2 linked regions of the Canis lupus familiaris genome follow. The protein of the gene in region 1 interacts with the protein of each later gene in a biochemical or structural test. Links are inferred from orthologs where the notes say so. Each region holds a gene or a part of one and is shown on either strand. Other genes may lie near its edges. The genes, in order: MAGEF1 and NSMCE1.

Region 1 (3,802 bases):
GTATCTTTTCTATAGGATGTATCCCCAGAGTGGAAGTGGCAGGCATTGCAGAGGCTTGAACTGCTCACGTAGATGACCCTTCCTGGCTGGTTAAGAATGTGAGCAATGCCTTACAAGTCTCCTCCAGAGGGGAGGTGGCAGGTAGAAAGCAGCCGGTAGAAACAGGGATGAGGGCCCAAGGCTGCCTCGTGCCAGGGGAGAAATCTTGAAGTGGAACTTCTTGGTAGTAGGGAATGTCAGTACATACCCTCCACCCACAGGACACAGTGTTCCAGAACTGTTAAGAGTATTTGGTCTCTGACAGCTTTGGTAGAAGAGGGGACCTTGTAGAGGTTGAGAAGGCGGATGGAAGGGCCCAAAATGCTAACGGCCACCATCACTGTGTGCTCTAATGAGTTGCCACTGGCAAAGACAGGGTGTTTTCCAGCTCTGCTATGTATCAAGCCTTCTTCCCCTGTTATTGAGAAGCACCTGTGCCCTTCAGTTATTTTCAATACCACTTCCCTCCCTCAACTTCTTTTTCTCCTTTCCCTCCCCTCTGCGTGCCCCATCCTTCCCCACTTCCCCTGAAGTCTGACTGAAGGTAATTTTAGCCAAGCCTCACCAACCAGCCCAGATGGGTTAGGTGTCCCTCTGCAGCCTTCAACTTGCTGCTCTGTAATTTCTGATTTTCTTAATCCCCAGTTCCAGAATGTAGGACCTTTATCTTGTTCAGCATTCTATCCCCAAATGCCCCCAAACACCACATAAAAAAAGACACTCAGCAAATGTTTAATTTATTGAGTGTGTCAGGGTATAGTTCTAAGTTACTACATTTGCATTTTTCTCGAGATACTATAATAGCTACAAATAGAGGTACAGGTCAGTCTTTTCTCTTTATACAATATAGACAAAAAGCACTGGGAAGCTAGACACCAATCAGCTATTCTTCTCGTGGTACCAGGTGATCCATACTGCTGAGTTCCATCGACTCATTAATGTACAGCATTACAACGCCACGTCATTTGTTCAAGATCACAGAATAAAACGTGAAGTCTTCGATTCGTTTTACAAAACCCGCAAAACCCTACAACAAAATCCTACCGGAAAAAGGTGACCAATCTCATTTATAAACATCAATGTTAACAGTATGTAAACTGTAACAAAACATAGCAAGATACAAAACCTAAATCCTAGTTACACAGATACAACTTCTAATTAACAACCTACTTATGATGCTACTTATGACGGTAGCTTTTTCGCGACCACCAAGACCCTGGTGGCCACGTTGCCACCAGCCCTCACCAGGGGCTGATGCCAGCCGTCTCAGTGGCCCTGGCCCTGGCTCTGGCCCTGGCTCTGGCCCTCATACTGGCCTCCGCTCTGGCTTTGGCTCTGGCCCTGTCGGCCTCGTCTGCCAGGGCCTCACGGTACTGCACTGGCCAGTGCTGGGGTTCTTTCTTATGGAGTTTGGCCACGAACCCCAGGACCTTCATCTTGCTGATTTCCAAGTTGCTCCGGGGACCCCAAGAGAATTCACATTCGGGCGGATTGCTGTGAGGCACCTGCCTGTAACTGAGGTATCGCTGCTGCACAAAATCTTCCATAATAAGCCTCTTCGGGTACCCGAAGAGGAAGTGGTACTTGGAGGGACGCACCCCCAACCGACGTAGCATCTCCCAGACCTGTGTCTCCCTGGCACTATTACCTTTCATGTAGATAAGGCCCAAGATCATTATTAGGAGACCCAATCTGGGGCCACCTCCTCCCAGATCCTCCTCCTCCTCCTCCTCCTCAAGAGGTTTTAGTTTGTTGATCAGGATGTAAGTGTGCTGCTTGCGGCCAAGCTGTTTCAGCTCGAAACCAAAGACGTGGCGCAGGTGCTCTGCGGCCCTTGCGATGATCTCAGGCGACAGATCCTTCTGGTCTCCGATTACGTATTTCACCATCTCGGAGCGAGTGATGGGACTCTTCTTCTTGTCCTTCACCAGCAGGAACTGCACCAGCTCGGCCACCGTCCGGTCCAGGCGGCGGTAGGCCCTGCGCCGGGCCGAAGCTTTGGCTGCCAAGGTCCTGGCGCCTCTCGGGGCGAGGGCGGGCTCTGCAGGCCCCTCCTCCCTGCGGGCGCCGAGATGCTCCCCGGGGGTCTCCTGCAGGAGGGGGCTCGCGGCCTCCTGAGAGGCGGCCAGGGCCTGGGTCTCACCGTCGCGGCCGCCATCCTTCTCCCCCTCGGCCCGGAGGATTGGGAGGGCCCCGCTCTCGGGTTTCTGCAACATGCCTTCGGGCGGGCAGGTGCAGAGGGCGTGCACGGGCCGAGGGGTGTGCGAGCCGCGGCGCAAAGCCCCGGCGGGGGGGCGGGACAGAGGCTGGGGGAGCGGGAGGAGGACCGGGCGAGAGGGCAGAGGCGTGCTTTCGGGACGCTGAGCCGCACCGCCGCGCTCGGGGCTCGCAACGGCTGCCGCAACGCCGCCGGCACCCCCGACCCGCGCGCGGCCCCGGCGCAGCCTGCGTGTGCGCCTGCGCGCCGGGCCGCCGGGCCACTTCCGGCCAGCTCAGCCAAGATGGTGGCCCCCGGGCCGCGCGAGGCCCCGCCCCTTCCGGCGCCCTGCGGCTGTGGGGTCGCTCCAGGGGCGGTGGGAGGTGTGAGCTCTGCGCGGAGTCTTGGGCTCCGGGGCTGCAGGAGGCCAACCAGCGCTTGCTCCTCCGAGGCCTGCAGAGTGGGAGTGTGTCCACGGGCGAGGCGGCAGGCGATAGGCGTGGCGTTTTTAGGCACGTCTTATCAACAAGTGCTTACTTTAAGTCTGTGTACCCAGGATTTTGAGTGATAATCCTGGCTCAGGTGCAGAGCGCGGGAAAGGATGCCAGGGAGATGGACATGTGCTCCAAACACGCTGGGAAACCACTACTGGGAGTTGGGAGTAGTGTCCAGACCAGATCTCCTATCTTTACAGTCTCCCTCCCCCGTGGCTGTGGCCGTGGCCGTGGCCGTGGCGGTGCGGAGGAGGATGGACTGCAAGTAGGGACGACCAAGTGCTGGGAATCCAGGTTGGAGGCGTGTTAGAGCGCAGAATAGGAACGGAGACTTGGCTTGGCTCGGTCACTGCTGTAGCCCCGCACCAGCACAGTGCCTGGCACCTATACTATTGCATAAATATTGCAAGATGGTTGATGAGGGGGTGAGGATCGCAGATTCTACAGGGGTGAGAGGAGGATAGGGCTGGCAGAAATAGTGATGGCAGGAAAGGGGTCACAAACTACTCCCATGACTTCTTTGCATACCCCCAGTTCTTGCCTCTTTCACCTTCTCACTTTCCCTCCCTCTTGCCTCCTTCCTCTCTTTCATTTTGGGGCTCAGCCTAAATGTCACCTTTCCAAAGCCTTCCTTTAAAAAAATAATAATAATAATAAACACAAAGCCTTCCTTAATCTCCATGCATGGAAGTTCTTTACTGCCATCCCTGAATCAACATAGCAATTTACATTTATTTAACATCCTCTTATACAGACCTTATGTACTAGGCCCTGGTCCTTACCACTTTTCAAGTATTTGTTTGTTTAATTCTCATTAAGTCACTGTTAACATCATCCCCATTTTATAGATCTGTCCTTTCCCATGGTGTTTGCTATTTACCAGCTGTGTAATCTTGGGCAAGTTACCTAAACTCCCTGCCCCTCAGTTACCTTATCAATAGGATGGGTATAATAGCAGTCACAACAGTATGGAGATTATATGAAGTAATGCATATATAGTACTTAATGCAGTACTCAGCACATATTGAGTGTTCAATAAATGTTACCTATTATTTATTGCATATTTTAATGT
Region 2 (3,815 bases), on another chromosome or scaffold:
CCATGAGATCTGACCCTCACTCCAGGTAAACAGTGTCAGAACTGAGCTGAACCACTGGACATCCAGTGAACATCCAGAGAACTGGGGAGGAAGTACTGGAAAAGACAACACATATTTGGTGTCAGGAAAGGAAAAAAAAACTTTCACTCCCTATCTCTCAAGGATTCACTGTCCTTCACTGACTAATGTCCTTTGTTTCATTTATTTTTAATTGTTTCATACAGGAAGGTAAACTGCTCCCTGTTGCTCTACCTTGGTCAAAAGTAGAAATCCTCAAACACAGGTCTTCTTAACCACCACTCCCTAGGCTTCCTGTGCCTAGTTCCATTAAAGGAGGCTTATACTAGAATCATATGATTCTGCATCTGCATGATTCATGAAACCCAAGGTGAAGCAAGAGCTTTGTCTCTGTGTCACCAGTCCCTAGCACAGGGACCTGGCCTCCATGATGCCACAGCAAGAGGTGCTAGATGATCACACACATGTACACAAGATCCAGCTCACAACCCCAGGTGCCCTCAGAGGGCACATAGGCCCTCCATGCCACTTAGAAAGCCCAGACCCAAGGCTTTACACCAGCCCATCACAACAAAATATAAACTCTCCCTAACCCAGATAACTGGGGAATTTGCTTCTAGTTTAATGATGGTAAGACCTGGAACCAGAGCCCAGAATAGGAAGCATGTTTGATAAGTTGGACAAAAGACCATGGGAAACTACAATCAGAATAACTCACAGATTCAATTACTCCTGTTTCATAATTATCTTAGAAGCTGAATATTTTTCCAGCTGGTAAAAGGGGACTTTCCAGGGCATCTTTTCAAAAGACAGATTAATGATGTTTATATTTATTTAATTTGAGATCATTTCTTTCCATCATCTCTCATTTTAAAATCTCTGAAATAACATTAATGCTTGAGAGAAAGCTTTTTTTTTTTTAAATGAAGGGTGTAGGGAAAAGCAAACTACAGCTCTATCCCATTTAGCCCAGCCATAAGCATATCTTGATATCTTTCTTTATGCACAGATACGGCACATAAAGTGTGAATAATAAATTAATTCCTAGATATATTCTACAGGACTTTCCTAAATTAGGTCATAACAACTTTAAAGGTCAAACAGAGGCAAAAACACTTTCATTCTTAGTACTAAGGCACCATGTGGCTCCCTGCAGTGAGCTATGAAACTTCCCCATTAGCATTAAAGCCCACATTTAGGACTTACAAGAGAAACTGAAGGGGAGGAGGAAGGGATAAAAGACTAAGAAAAACATTCTTATGCCCTTCACCAGAGCATTCTGAGGGGGAGGGTGGAAATCCTGTTGTGCTTTTTTAAGGAGTGAGAGAGGCTGGCTTGGCAGGTGTAACATTCCCTTCCCCTAATAGAGGCCCTCACCAAAGACCTCTATCCACCCCAACACAGGCAAGTAGGACAGACATGTTTTTACCAGAAAAATAGTTTTCCAGCACAACACTAATTATGTCCCTTTCCCGTCTCAAGTCCTTTCAGACGTCCACACTGTACTCAGAATTAAGTACATAAGAAACCCCATTACTCTGGTGCACATACTATGGGTTCTTCCTGATTTATAGACTCACATACCACAAAGACGCATCTGTTCCCACACATCATATGTTCCTATCTGGGGTTTCCCAAAGTATGTCAAGTGGAGGTCAACGAGGTTTAGATAAATGGGATTAAATGGAGTTCAACAGGTTTCCTTACTGTCGGATCCCTGCAGGCATTTCATTTGTTAGCGTGTACCAGCCAGCTCCCAGAATTTCATGTGGCATACCTCAAGGGGCCAGTCTCTCCAAAACTGCCTCTGCCCTAACCCGTAAGCTCTCATCTTCCTTCTGCACGTCTTGGGAGAATATGTGTCTCTGTACCCACCAGCTCGCCCTTCCTGCTCCCATCCACCCTTCACCTCTCTCAGATCTGGCTTCTGCCTCCCCCATGCCACATTCGGCACTTCTCCATATATGGCCCCTCTTCTCATGGGCCTTCACCCCTAAACCCAGTGCCCCATGCACACCTTTCCTCACACCTCCTGGCTGGCTCACCTCTCTGTGCTTTCCACTCTTGTTTTGGAAACAGAAAATACACTCAGAAAGACAAAAGCACAGAATATAACCACCTGTATTCCCATTAATCAGAAGTGATGATCATCAGACTATACTATGAATGTCATGTTTACTTCAAGTCTTCTTTTCTTTAATAAAAGAGCAAAATAGAATAAAGATGAGTGTCCTTTGATTTCTCCCCAAAGGCAAGCACCTCACAAGTGTGTTACATAGCCTTCTGGTCCACTCTTACTTTTTTTACATGCAGATGTTAAGTATTTATAAGTTGGGGCACGTGGGTGGCTCAGTAGGTTAAACTACTGCCTTCAGCTTGGGTCATGATCTCAGGGTCCTGGGATCCAGCTCCGCATGGCATTGGGCTCCCTGCTCAGCAGGGAGTCTCCTTCTCCCTCTCCCTTTACCCCGCCCCTGCTCATACGCACTCTCTCTTTCTCTCTCTCAAATAAATGAAATCTTTAAAAAATTTGTTATGTTTTACAAAAAGCGTAACACAGTGACATCGTACAATAAGTATAATTTATCCACTTTCTTTTTCATTCAACAGGATCTACCCATACTGACACTCCACTCAACCTGAGCTACCAATATTGATTTTACTGACCTGCCAGCAATGATCCTACTGTTTCTACTGTGACTTCCAGTTAATGAAAACTCAGCCAGGTCTGGTCGCTGAGTGCTCTGTGTGTATTATCTTACATCCCATCTCAGCAACCCACTGAGAAGATGCTCCAAATTCCCAGCTGGCCCAGGACAGGGTGGCATTATCTCTGGGTTTGGCTGAGTCCAAGGCCACGCTCTGACCCCCTGTGCTAAGCTGCCCTCTAACCACTGACAGCTAAATGAGCACCTTCCCCAGGGTCAGGCACTTTGTATGTATCTTGTCTCTTAATCCTCTGAACCTATGGTGTCAAGGATGATTAATTATCCTCATGTGAGAGATGAAGAAGTTCAGGCTAGAGAAGATGCTGGAGCCTTGGTGTGAACCACAATTAAACAGCTTCAAAGTCCAAATTCCTACCCACTGGGCTAACTATTAGATTTACTAAAAAAAGTAAATAAATAAAAAGTAAAGTCAAAGCCGAGATGAGAAGCACAGGCTGGTGTGAGAGTATGGGAGAGACCTGACCACCCAGGTTGTTTTATCCCAGTGTCTTAGTCCCTGATCGCACAGCTCCAGGGCATCCTGGGAACGGGGAAATGATACTCACGGTCATGGACTCGATAGCAGTGCTTCTGCAGGCGCCGAACGTCCCACTCCTCCAGCACTCCATGAGTCATCAGCAACTGGAGGAATCGCCGGTGAACATCAGTCATGACACCCGCTCTTCTAGTACCACCCTGCATGTGCGAAGGAGCTAAGAAAAGAAGCAAACAAAACCCATTCACCTCTGAGCGCTCCGAAAGCCAGGTTCTATATTTTGTACTAACTTACATTCACAACTAGCCATTTGTTATAGTTTTTAGACTCAAGAGCATCCTGCCGAATAGCCCAAAAATGAAAAGGACACCAGTCAGGGGCAAGCCAACTAGTACCAGCAGTTACTAAAGAGTAACGTGGGTCCCAGAGCCAGCCAGCACGCCTGGACCCAGCCTACCCTACCATCTAAATGAGTAAAATTGGAGAACCTGTCCTCCCTGTGCTTCAGTTTCTGATCTATGAGACTAACGACAGAACCGTGCTCCACAGAATTACTCTATTCGGTGAGTTAACACATAACAGATTTTACTTAT

The links.
Region 2: the proteins of MAGEF1 (region 1) and NSMCE1 form a complex in vitro, tested with the Homo sapiens proteins (2 studies listed by BioGRID). The link is inferred for Canis lupus familiaris from reciprocal best matches to the Homo sapiens genes MAGEF1 and NSMCE1.

The regions. Positions count from the first base shown.
Region 1 is NC_049255.1:17,712,364-17,716,165, forward strand, and holds MAGEF1 (melanoma-associated antigen F1), read right to left. Parts: upstream 2,454-3,802; 5' UTR 2,256-2,453; coding exon 1,281-2,255; 3' UTR 756-1,280; downstream 1-755. UniProt on the Homo sapiens protein: Enhances ubiquitin ligase activity of RING-type zinc finger-containing E3 ubiquitin ligases. Proposed to act through recruitment and/or stabilization of the E2 ubiquitin-conjugating enzyme at the E3:substrate complex.
Region 2 is NC_049227.1:19,537,604-19,541,418, reverse strand, and holds part of NSMCE1 (non-structural maintenance of chromosomes element 1 homolog), read right to left. Parts: intron 3,440-3,815; coding exon 3,293-3,439; intron 1-3,292. UniProt on the Homo sapiens protein: RING-type zinc finger-containing E3 ubiquitin ligase that assembles with melanoma antigen protein (MAGE) to catalyze the direct transfer of ubiquitin from E2 ubiquitin-conjugating enzyme to a specific substrate.